Nothobranchius furzeri: one gene and its partners. The protein of the gene in region 1 purifies or fractionates together with the protein of each later gene. This does not show direct contact. Links are inferred from orthologs where the notes say so. Each region holds a gene or a part of one and is shown in the gene's direction. Other genes may lie near its edges.

Region 1 (3,960 bases):
AACTTAAATAAAATCATTGAAATATATCAAGAAAAATATATTACATGATATATATATACATATATATATATATATATATATATATATATATATATATATATATATATAGGGTTAGGGTTGGGGTTACATATATATATCCGTATTCAATTGTGAGTATAAAATAGATGAGCATATAAAACATCTTTCATGGTGATGTTAGTCCTTTTTAAAGATGCATTGAGCCTCACAGTCTTTCAAAAATGTGGTCACTCATTTTCAGTTTTTAACCTCTTAAATATTTCAGTGTGAAACATTTTGCGTGTGAATCCGTGTATCTTCAAAACACATTTTGCTGAGTAAACAATTTGCTTTTTATTTCTAACCTTTGGAGATTTTTATAATGCACAGCAAGATGCAACCTGGACACATCTGAGCAGGACTGTGTCAAAAAAGAATTAATATTTGAAATAATGATTGTAGATTTTCATTAGCAGGTGTGTGGATTGTGTCAAATTTAAACTGATGAATGTTGGTTTGTTTCCTGCTCTGACTGTTGAAATATGATGTACTGGATTAGTAGCTCTGGTTCATTTTGAAATGTTTTTCTGTTCTTTGCTGTGTAATAATGGAGTTTAAATAAAGTGTTCAGCATTTAAGTTCAGCACTTGCGTTCATTGTTTACACAAAGCTGAACGTCATCCAGCCTGGGTGCTTTCTGTGTCAACACAGATTTCTATTGCTTTATAATAAAGTCTGGTTTACTCACATGCATGCCTTTGTTGTGAATCCTGTTAAAGCTGTTTACTGATATATTTTCTCTAGGTTTATCAAATGGGCGCCACAATCAATTAAAATAGATTTAACCAGATAGTAATTAATAACTTTTTGTTCAGCCAATTTTTGCAGGACACCTGGGAAAGTGACTATTTTGTGACATGACTCATAAACTTTTATTAGATAAATGCGAATTGCGGTCCAGTTTTCCCTAAACCAATAGTAAACACTTCCTGTTTATTGAAATATTTTGCTCAGAACACATGCCCATCGTGCAAATAACAGATGTAATTTGCTTGAATTTTTAACACATTTTTATCATGTACTTTATTTAGTATACAGAAATTTCTATTGATATTAAGGGTCTTTTTAGCAATTGCATAAAGTGATGGATTACATCTTCCGGTTATACAAGATTACAAAATAAATACTTGAATAAATCATATTTGTTTTTATGATTACTTCATTACATTTCAAAGCATACTTTTAAAATGACGTTACTATTTCCTCCGTTACTATTGTCAGAGGATCATGAAAACGAGCTCCTCGCATTGTTTTTCTTAGATGCTAATATTTGCGAGCTTTCTGTGTTACGTGAACGCAACGTCTCGTGTGGTTTTGACGAATCACGCAGACGCCGGGGCGCGTCGTCCCACTTTCGCCGTACGGAGCCGAGCCGCTAGAGAGCCGCACACAGCTGAGTTCGGTCTGTGTCCGCCTGCAGCTAGCTAACCCCGCAGAAAGGCCACTGCGGGAAGATGGCGACGGAAAAACAAAAACATGAAGGAAGAGTCAAAATAGGACATTACATTCTCGGGGACACGCTTGGAGTCGGGACGTTTGGAAAGGTTAAAGGTAGGTCCGACATGCAGAGTACATCCTGCCCACCCAAGATGATAGCGCTTTTAGCTTAGCTGCTAATGTAGCCTAGTCTCAAAGCTAAAGTTGTCGCCAGACCTGGAATGTATGCAGCCACACTCAGTTTGTCTTCTTTGCCATAACGAGTTGGAACTGTTGGGTTGCACTAAACGGTGCAACTTGTTAAACTGATGATTATTTATTTCTTATTACCAGTTAGCGTTGTCAGCAATATGTTGGCCTGCGAGCCAAAAGTCTCTGTCAAGACCCGAGTGAACCTCCTGTGGCTGGTGTTTGCGCCTGTGGCTAAAAAGACGTGTGTTCATTTCCGTTCCCCTGCTTCCACAAAAAATATATATTGGTAAACAAAATCCGCCATCAGGCTCGACCATCACGCTGAGGAAATATTTACGCATTCAGGTGTGTTGAAACAGAAAGTTGGACAAACACCCACGTTTACTCCCCGTGTTGTCAGAGGGTGATTCGCGTTTTGGGCACCGTTAGCTTGGTTTATCAGCACTCGCCTTGACCGGAAGTGCCGATTGAAACCATTAAATTAAACCTACATTTGAACACATTTTTGTTTCAGAAGCATGACTTTTGTCCCTCCTGTTCTGTCAGAACAGCCACTCGCTCTGTTTACAGTTAGTTTCCAGTGACTCATCACTCTCCTCCACTCATGTTATTTGTTGTTGATGAGAAAACAGCGTCTCAGTCCACTGGAGTTGCTGATCCGTGAAGATGCCTGAGTGCTGCACATTTAATATTTCACCGGTGATAAAATCTAATGCTACTGCTCAGTAACCCCTAAGTGGTTTCCACCGTCCATCTAGCTCAAAGGCTCAAACCCTTTATGACCGAAAGAGCCATTTTCAACATCATGCTAAATATAATATGTGTAGGGCTGCAAAATTTACTTGAGCCATATAAATAAGCGCTTATGCACACGTGACCATTTGTTTTCTTTTAAATTTCTAATTCATAGTCTAAAAGGAATCCACAATATTACAGTAAAACCGGGCGTACACTGTGATTTTTGGACCGTTTTGAGCCAATTTTTCTCTCATGCAAGAATCTTTTAGGTCAGGGCAAGTTCGTGTATTGTCTAGTGTATGGGAGTAATGTGAGGTGATTAACACCTCCTGAGCAGCAATCACGCAGTCGCATGAATATCAAACATGTTTGATATTTTGCTCCTCCCTCGTGAGGGTCTCGCAGTCTTGAAGCAGCTCTGCTCACCCAGAACATGCGCCAGCATGGCTGCCGAGCTTATTATGCATCAACACATGTTGTTTGTTTTTATTTTTTCACTTTTCTCCACACACAACAGCGAAGATTGTCAAGAAAGTACGTTGTCTCTGTTTATGTCAAATACGAGAAAAACATTGTTTACGTCCTTTCATTCGTCTTCCTTCTCCATCTCCCATAACCCCCTTTGTTTTTCTACAGCAAGCCCAAAGGACAACAGACGTCAACAACATAGTCTGTATTCGTTTTTTGCAGATAAAGTTTGAGAAACAAAAGTCATCAACAAAAAATCAAGAGTCTCTGGGTCCTGTGGATTTTTGGATTCAAAAGTCTGACATGTGTAAAAACTATTAGCTTGTTTTTATGTGTGACATGTCGCTACCACATGTAGAGTCTGAGCATTGGGTCTTAAGGCTAGTTTATGCTTCTGCATCAGCTCCACGAGGGAGGGAACCACACAAGAGACATCTCCGTCTCATGGGGGCTGTTGCAAATCAATTCCCCGTCTGGACAACAGAAGGCGTAGCGCTGTTCTGTGATATCCTGTCATGCATCTGGTCCAAGATCGTGCATTTACTATTGTGTTTTTATATTTCAGAAACCTTTTAACACGGACAAATATGTCTGTCATTCTCCTCCACCTCTTCATGCACTCACCACCTCTAAACCCACGTTTCCCCTCCTTCCTGTCCACGAATAAATTGCTTGCATCCTTTTACTCCTCCAGTCACGGGTGAATAAAACGTTCATATTTTGAGTTTTTCTACGAGGTATTCTTCAAGCTGCTCCATGTCTTCCGCTAGATATCTTCGGCTCTCTTTATTTTTTTGAGAGGGCAACAGCGGTGCTGTTGACGAAAGTGTTGTCCTAACCAATCACAAGCTCGTGTTCTCCATCTTGTGTTGCTGATTTGGTGCAAATATGTTCTTTGTGTCAGAAAGTCGAATAAACAAACGGACTGGCTAATGACAACAAAACTGCTCAGTATGTTTAACACATTGTTACTAAAAACTCTTAAATGTTTTTTGCTAAATCTGGTATTGAAAGGAAGGGAAAGAACTTAGATTAGGGTAATTCAGCTGTGGCACACACAGATTAGGA
Region 2 (4,294 bases), on another chromosome or scaffold:
AATTTTCCTTGAAATGATATGGCTTGCAAATATGAGATCATAAAATATTAAACCTTATGAAAGAGAGTCTCATATAACACCACCTGAACAAAGTGTCATTATGATGTTATGTAACTACAAGAGAAATAAAAATCCATGGAACAATGTGCTCACTGTAAAGTGAAATTACTCTGCTGCGGATGCAAGAGTCGATGCATTCATATTTACTGAAATTTAAAAGTAAATTCAGAAACGTACGTTTAGAAATCTTGCATATTACCTGATGGGTTCATCTTTTTACCTTTCATGCTGAGTTTAGGGCAGTTTAATCCATAATTATTTTCTAGAAGCTTTTTAATTATATTTCATTGCATAGTCAATTGGATGGTTACTTTTCAATAATGAACTCAATAGCTTCAAAATCCAATTACGTATTAACTAGAAGTATAAAGTTAGCATGTAACATAACTTATTCTTAGTGTAAGGTGACAACAAATGGAAAAGATAGCCTGGTGAATGTTAAATTACTTTAAATAGTATTTAATTAGTTCCTGGGTGGAGAATATAAAATTACATTGAACCTCAGCATCCTACTTCTTGGCAGGGATAATCTGTCACTCCCTAATACAAAATGCTAATCTGACATAATAACTTAATCAGGCAGAAAAAGTTAAGTTACGACTCAAGTTATTGGTTTAACAAAACAGTTCCTGTTGGCATTCTCTTTTAAAGTCCTAATTTAGGAAATGAAAGCACAAATAAACGTATTGCTGCACCGGTTAGGCTTTTATTCTCAATAGCTAGCTAAAAACACCTGTGCAAGTTTAGCCTTAAGCTAATATAGCTGGTGCAACTCCCCCTTTCGTGTTCAAATAACAGCCATAACAGAGCATTAATTAATAATAACAGCACATCATCGCACAAAACAGCTACTAAAGTCGCGCTTTTGTCGGTAACTACAGCGTTAAATAAAAAAAACTAAGATAAAGGCGGAGGAGTTTTTACCGTCTCCCTCAGAAACAGTAATCCGTCAAACCGCGCGACTCATCGGACTCAGAGGTGTACGTCAGTGTCGGTGCTTTGACACGTCTCCGTGTTGCTACGGGGTTCGGTTCGGCTGGGACTGACAGAGAGACGGAGACAGCTCCTCTTGTTGTTGATATGTGTTGTCCGCTGAGCGGAGAGAGGAGGAACACGCTGCAGCGGAACAGGCTGTTCCCGCCCGGCCTGGCACGGAACGGGTTACAGGTCAGGGTGTCTGTTGGAACACTGTGTTCTCATCAGCAGCGGCACAGCTACAGTACAGCCGGAACATTGTGTTACTTTGTGGCTGCTTTCCAAGACCTGCCCTTAATTTTACACTAAACACCCTCCCCACAACTCATCTCGTTTCTGCTTACCCCCGCCACCCCCCTCCACCCCCCTCGCCTCCTCCTGCCTCTGTCATTTTTGTGCGAGTTTGTCTCTGTAGTATCTCCTCAGTGTCATTTTGGAGTCAGAGCTGCGTGTTGCGACCGCACCGGTACTTTCATCACTGAGGAGAGGAAGAAGGAGCAGAGGGGGGTGGGATAAAGACAAAAAGAGTCCATAGCTAAGAACCACATGGGCAGAACACTTAGTACCCTGCTGGATCTGAGATAGGAAGACGCATTTTCTTAGAAATAAACATCCACCGAGTGAATTTGCAGCTGTTCGTCACCGGCAACCATCTGGGGGAAGAAAATAAAAAAGCGGACCTCAAAACATCGTAAGTCTCTTTTAATACACAGATCTTCATCTTTCTGAAATACTTTATTTAATTTAGGAGTTAATTAAAATAATCTTTTTTTTTAAATTTCGTTCACGCCTGGCTGAGTTAAACGGAACTTGTGCACAGTCTCACTAAAGAATAAGAATATACAAGATTATTTAAAGGAGGGGGGAAAGTGAGCCAGGATGGATAGGTTTTGGCTGAATGTGGTCCTTAGCCTTCTTGTGAAGGTCCCAGAAGAGGTTGGTGGATGTTCTCATCCAGGATCCCTCTAGGCTTAGGTGTCCCTTTCATAAATTACAGGGGTTTTGTGCAGGCTACTTCTGAGAATTATAACTCAACTCGACTCTGAGCTGATTCATTACAACCTGGTTACATATTACTGAGCAGCTTGTGAAGAACTCTGAATGTTTAGGTTGACACCAGGTGCTGAGGGGATAAGCACAAAAATGGTCCTCCAAAATTAGTTCCAGCCAGGACTATTCTATAAGTATCTAATAAAAATGCACACATTTTCATCAGCTCAGGTGAAAAAAAATAAAGTTTATTTGTCAGTTAACAACTTATAAAAGTTAAGGTCAGGCATAATTTTTGCCTGGAAAACAAATAGATTTTAATGATTACAGCATTTTTATGATAGACATCTATAAATATCAAGTTATTATCATAATCTTAGCACCATAACAGGTTAATAAAAGAAGTTTAGTTTTTTTGGGGTGTCTGTGTGTGCAGGATTATCAGTGAGTCTCCACTTGTTAGGTATGAATCAGCAACAGAGTACGGATGTGAAACAGAATGTACAGATACACTGTGTGCGTCTCTGGATGTGGTCTTTGGCTCATTGTGTTCTGTTCCTGCATTCCTCCGCAGGGCATCTTAGTTATTGGTACATGAAGCCTACGTACCATCTTATCAGTGCTGGAACAATTTACACCCTGTTTCTGCTTTTGCAAAGTGTCAATATTTTATTTACGAGGAAGAGATGACAGAAATACACCAAAAAGAAGGGCGAGATCACAATGATGGGATGAGTAACTTTTTACTTGTCTGCAATCATCAGTGATGATAAGCAGTCACAACGCTGGTTTATCTCAGTTTAAATCATGTGGGGGGTAAAAAATGTGAGTGTATGCAAAATTTACCAAATTAGAACAGCTTATTTGCCTTTTTTTTGTTAAATAAAATTAAAGCTGGTGCATCAGGGGGGTTTAAGGTTGATGAACGCTGTTGGGCTTTGCCGGTGGCGAACTGTGAATAGAAGGAACATTGTGTTCAGACACACACATGGACACACGAGTTACATGAGTTACATCTGAAATGACATCCGTGGAATTTAAAAGACACGGGGAAGGGTGGAGCTGCTGATGGACGGACGTTTTGGGACATTTTTCAGGATAAAAACTGTATTTTTCCATACAAGTACAAAAGTGAGGATGCGGGGTAAAGTGATGCCAGTCAAGACGGCTCTTTGTGGTTTCAACCTGTGTGATGAGGAGCATGGAAAGTGCCTCAGCATCATAAGAAATCATTTAGAAACGATTCAAATTCTATTTCCTGATCAGTATGCAAAACAAGGATTCTGCTGCTCAGCCTGTCGTTTAATAATTAGAGGTTTATTTACATGGTCTTCTTTTTATGCAGAGAAGCATCTTTTTGCTCATTCGTGATATCTGCAAAGAATGACGGACCCTTCTGTGTAATTAACGGAAAATAAATCTACTAATAAGAGCTGCTTTTATTAAAGCGAGTTCACAGTAAAGTCTGTGTTCGCGAGGCTGCTTTCTGATCAGTTTTGCCTTTACTGGAGATATTTCTTATCTTAGTTTATAAAGCTTCTTATAAACATAAAAACCAAAGCCTTTAACATGTTTGTTGGTCCAAGAGTCAAGTGTTTAAGTCATTAGAGTCACATCTTGTCTCTCTTTGTCCGCCAGATGAAAGAACACAAAGTTCTTTTCCTTTGTTTAGATTTCCAGACTTCTCTCTTTAGAGCAAAAACAATAAAAATGATTATTAAACTGAGAAAAATTTCTTTCTACCAGATGATGTGCAAGTATACACCTATGTTGAGTTTTAAAACGTTTTTTAAGAGAGAATTATTTGGTGATTGTGGTACTTGAGAAAAACAAACAAACAAAAAAAAAAAACCAATACTGGTAAATGCCACTTTTATTTGTTTTGTTTCAACTTTGACCGCAGTAACGTTCCTACGATCCAAAGCAGCTGAGCTCTGATGAAATGTGTTAATGTCTCAGCTGATTATAACCATCCACCAGTGTTTGCCAGCATGCTTACCATAGCTGCGTTACATTTTCCTCTTCTTTGTACAATGTCAAGGTAGTTACGTCAGGGGTGACTTTCTTAGATGGGAGTAAAATGGAGCGAATGGACGATGATTGCTGCTGTGATTAAAAAGTCAACAAGCTTTAAAGGTGACATGTTATTCCAGTTTTTATTGCTCTGGCAAAGCTTCTGTTGATTTTTCCTTTTTCCACATGGATGTGCGAGATGCTGGCAGCAGATTTCTGCTCGCCTGTTGGGCTATATACTGAACATTTTTGGTAC
Region 3 (4,125 bases), on another chromosome or scaffold:
AGGGTGGCCGAACTCAGCCTTAGAGATAGGGTGAGGAGCTCAGACATTCGGGAGGGACTCGGAGTAGAACCGCTGCTCCTCCGGATCGAAAGGAGTCAGTTGAGGTGGTTTGGGCACCTGGCTAGGAAGCCTCCTGGATGCCTCCCCGGGGAGGTGTTTCGGGCATGTCCTGCCAGCAGGAGGCCCCCTAGTCAACCTAGGACACTTTGGAGAAGTTACATCTCCATTCTGGTCTGGGAACACCTTGGGGTCCTGCCGGAGGAGCTGGTGAAGGTGGCCGGGGAGAGGACGGTCTGGCGCTCCCAAGTTGGGATGCTGCCCCCGCAACCCGGACCGGATAAGCGGAGGAAGACAACGACGAGGACGATTACAATGAATCTAGAGTTGTAACTTTTATACTGCAAAGTAGTGTGTGATTAGTCAAGGTTAGATAAGTAATCCTGCTATGAGTTGCTGTACATTTGCATCACGTGAGCTATTCATTTGTTATGTTTCGGTATGAGTTAATAATTTTTTCTTTGTAGTTGTTTTTAAAGCGACTGATTGTCAGACACTTTTTTAGTTCTTTGTCCGATGAGTTCCAAAGTTTAACACCTTTTATTGATAAGCTCATTTGTTTCAGCGTTGTTCTACAAAATATTTGTTGAAAATCTCATTGTTGTCTTTGTGGTTGCTCTGTTTGAAATACTTATGACTGTCATTTGGTGGTTTGTATTTGACCTTGTATATGACCAACAGAGTGGAGAGGTTTACTTTGTCTTCAAATTTCAATATGTTTGACTGGATAAACAGTTCATTGGTATGTTCTCTGTAATGTTTTTTATGAATGATTCTGATTTCTCTTTTTTGTAAAATGACTATAGGTTTGGTATTGGTTTTATATGTGCTGCCCCATATTTCCACACAGTAAGTCAGATATGGTGTTTAGTTTTCTTTAGTATCGATATATTTTTGCATTTATTTTTTGTTTTTTGTATTTTATATGGTGTTTCCAGGATAGTTTGTGATCAAGTATTACTCCTAACCTTATTGATTACATTTCCATTGATTGATATATTTTGCCCTTCTTCTTTGATATAAAATTTTTGAGATTTGATTAGTTTGAGGAAATAGAACCCTAATTTGTAATTGTGTTGTTTTATAACACGGGAGAGAATATAGAATACAGAAATGTGCTATTACGTTAAAAAACACGCTTGACCCATTTCTGTTCCTGTTTACGCCCTGCCTGCAGGTGGCGCTGTGACATTCTCAAGCTCTGGTGCACAGCAAATGAAAACCGGAAGCGGAGCTTACTTTAACACGGACTGTGTTTGTAGTTTACAGCCGTCGTTTGGCATTCTCTTTCATGAATTTGTTTTAACTTAAGAAACCACACAGTCGTTGTCTCCATGTGCCTTCGGTTTTTTTTTTATTATTTTGTTTCAGCGCTGGTATCGTTACCTGTACTAACTTAATAAGCTAACATTTGTAGATTACTGGACTTTTGCACACCACTTGAACGTCTTGATGGAGCCAGCGACCCACCAGACCTGGAGGAGATCCTTTTATTACCTCCACGGAGCTTTTATTCTTCCAAAAAGGTTCCAGTCAGGTCAGGCTGAGCACGCAGCTGTCTCTGCGTCCCCTCGTGTCCGTCCGAGGCTCCTGGTGTCTCGTCTGTACCAGCCCTCGAACCTGCGTGATGTGGGTCAGGAGAGCCGGCTGGCGGGGCAGATGACCTGTAAGAGCCAGAGACTCATGCAGCAGGCTGGGCTCATCCATCCATCCAACCCAGGGTGCTACTACTACCTTCCTGCCGCCGTGCGCTCCATGGAGAAGCTGGTGGGTTTTCATTTGCATAACAAAATGTTTTTGAGCAACTGTTTCTGTGGGTTTTATCGTGCTTTTGTGCGTAAAAATAAAAATTAAAAAATTCTGAGGTCTGAGCTCTAAATTAGCTTTTGTTCTGTAATAAAGTAATATCCTAAATGCTAGCTCCTCAGGAGGGAGGGAGCTGGTGCCTAGTCATCTGGCATGATGTGGGGGACACTCAGGACAAGTCTCCAGTCAGTCACAGGGACGTAAAGTCACATTGTATCACATCTGGGGACAATTGTCTCAAAAGTGAGAAAACATGGCAACGTTATGCAGCAAGGCCCAGCTAGGATTCAAACCTGCAACCTCCTTGCTGCAAGGCAACAGTTGTACCAATTGCTACAACTATAAAAGAAGCTACATTTCCAAACACAATAAAGCAGGTCGTGTTGAATATTGACATCAAAACAGAACTTTTTGGCATGAAGTTTTGTTTGAATGGAGCCCGATGAGGACGTTCAGTAAGATGATGACATCTCAACGGTAAAGTGTGGATTTGAAAAGTTATCTGCACGTTTTAACATAATTAAAGGAAATGTATTCTGTGTTTGGTATGAAGAATAACTATTTAAACATCACCACTAGACTCTGGAAGAAATAACAATAACAGAAAATGCGATTAAGTGTCCAAACATTGACAATCCAGTTTATGTTTTCAAGTAAAAAAATAAATTACTGCTGTAACAGAGAATAATTGTATTTATTTGGTTGTTATTCAATTATAACTGGAGTTTTTATTCAACAGATTAAAGTGATTGACCAGGAGATGCATGAGATTGGTGGACAGAAGCTAGACATGCCTAGTTTATGCTCAGCTGATCTCTGGAAAGCCAGTGAGCGCTGGGATTTGATGGGAAAGGAGCTGTTCCGTCTGAAAGACCGCCACAGGGCAGACTACTGCTTAGGTCCCACCCATGAGGAGGCAGTGACGACCCTTGTCGCTCATCAGACGACTCTGTCCTACAAACAGCTGCCTCTGCTTCTTTACCAAGTAAGCCTCCAGCTTGTTACTGTCACTAGCTGTGGGTTTTTTACTGAGATTTCTTCTTCAAATCCAGATCACCAGGAAGTTCAGAGATGAACCCAAGCCAAGGTTTGGCCTTCTGCGAGGGAGAGAGTTCTACATGAAGGACATGTACTCATTTGATGTTAGCGAAGAAGCTGCGAACCAGACGTACGAGTCTGTGTGTGAAGCATACTCTCGACTCTTTGCCAGGTTGAGTCTGCGTTGCGTTCAGGTGCAGGCAGACACGGGAAACATCGGCGGTACTCTCTCACATGAGTTTCAGCTGCCGGCAGACATTGGTGAGGACCATCTGCTGCTCTGTGGAAGCTGCTCCTTCTCCGCTAATGCGGAGACTTTGTCATCAGGCCGAACCGACTGCCCACAGTGCAACACTGGCTCACTGGTAGAATCAAAGGGTATAGAAGTAGGTCACACCTTTTATTTGGGTAAAAAGTACTCCCATATATTCAAAGCCACCTTCAGCAGTGCCCAGAACAAGCCTGCTACTGCAGAGATGGGCTGCTACGGTCTTGGGGTGACGCGCATTCTCGCTGCAGCCATCGAGGTGATGTCAACAGAGGAAGAGATCCGCTGGCCGGGTCTTATCGCTCCATATCAAGTTTGTGTGTTGCCCCCTAAGAAGGGCAGTAGGGTAGATAAGGCGGCAGTCTTTGCAGAAGAACTGGTTCAGACTCTGGGAGAAGCTGTTCCTCATCTGAGAGGTGAAGTTGTTCTTGATGACCGCACACACATGACCATTGGAAAGCGGCTGAAGGATGCTAATAAACTGGGCTACCCTTATGTCATCGTAGTAGGACAGGTGGCTTTAGAGGAAAATCCAAAGATTGAGGTGGTGTGTCAGCAGACGGGTGAGACTATGTTCCTCAGTAAGGATGGACTCCTGGATCTACTGGGAAGAGTGGAAACTGTGTAACAAAACTTTAACAGCTGATCCTGTAAGAATTGTCATGATTGTTTATTTTGATGGTTGAAGTCCAAAGAATACTAAAGACTTTGTCTAGACATTACATAGGTTTTATTCACAAACGAGTAAATTTGCTGTTAAAAATGGCTTGATAAGGTCTCTGGGATTGATTAATGCTTTTTTTTCTTATATGCTCAATAAGAAGAGAAATAAAGGCACAGCTTTATAGTTTTACATTTTTTTTTCTTCCCGGTACCGGTTGCTTGTTTAAATGTATTTCTGAAATAAAGAAATATGTAGGAGCTCCACAAAAGAGGTGTTTTATTATTTAGCCTTG

What was found. The genes of interacting proteins can lie anywhere in the genome.
Region 2: the proteins of prkaa1 (region 1) and fkbp5 purify together in Homo sapiens (affinity purification with mass spectrometry; 3 studies listed by BioGRID and IntAct, with this or other methods). This does not show direct contact. The link is inferred for Nothobranchius furzeri from reciprocal best matches to the Homo sapiens genes PRKAA1 and FKBP5.
Region 3: the proteins of prkaa1 (region 1) and pars2 purify together in Homo sapiens (affinity purification with mass spectrometry; 3 studies listed by BioGRID and IntAct, with this or other methods). This does not show direct contact. The link is inferred for Nothobranchius furzeri from reciprocal best matches to the Homo sapiens genes PRKAA1 and PARS2.

Annotation. Positions count from the first base shown.
Region 1 is NC_091746.1:66,884,407-66,888,366, reverse strand, and holds the start of prkaa1 (5'-AMP-activated protein kinase catalytic subunit alpha-1), read left to right. Parts: upstream 1-1,160; 5' UTR 1,161-1,511; coding exon 1,512-1,608; intron 1,609-3,960. UniProt on the Homo sapiens protein: Catalytic subunit of AMP-activated protein kinase (AMPK), an energy sensor protein kinase that plays a key role in regulating cellular energy metabolism.
Region 2 is NC_091743.1:66,802,749-66,807,042, reverse strand, and holds the start of fkbp5 (peptidyl-prolyl cis-trans isomerase FKBP5), read left to right. Parts: upstream 1-1,494; 5' UTR 1,495-1,726; intron 1,727-4,294. UniProt on the Homo sapiens protein: Immunophilin protein with PPIase and co-chaperone activities. Component of unligated steroid receptors heterocomplexes through interaction with heat-shock protein 90 (HSP90).
Region 3 is NC_091748.1:68,230,470-68,234,594, forward strand, and holds pars2 (probable proline--tRNA ligase, mitochondrial), read left to right. Parts: upstream 1-1,325; 5' UTR 1,326-1,509; coding exon 1,510-1,824; intron 1,825-2,602; coding exon 2,603-2,848; intron 2,849-2,915; coding exon 2,916-3,797; 3' UTR 3,798-4,101; downstream 4,102-4,125. UniProt on the Homo sapiens protein: Mitochondrial aminoacyl-tRNA synthetase that catalyzes the specific attachment of the proline amino acid (aa) to the homologous transfer RNA (tRNA), further participating in protein synthesis.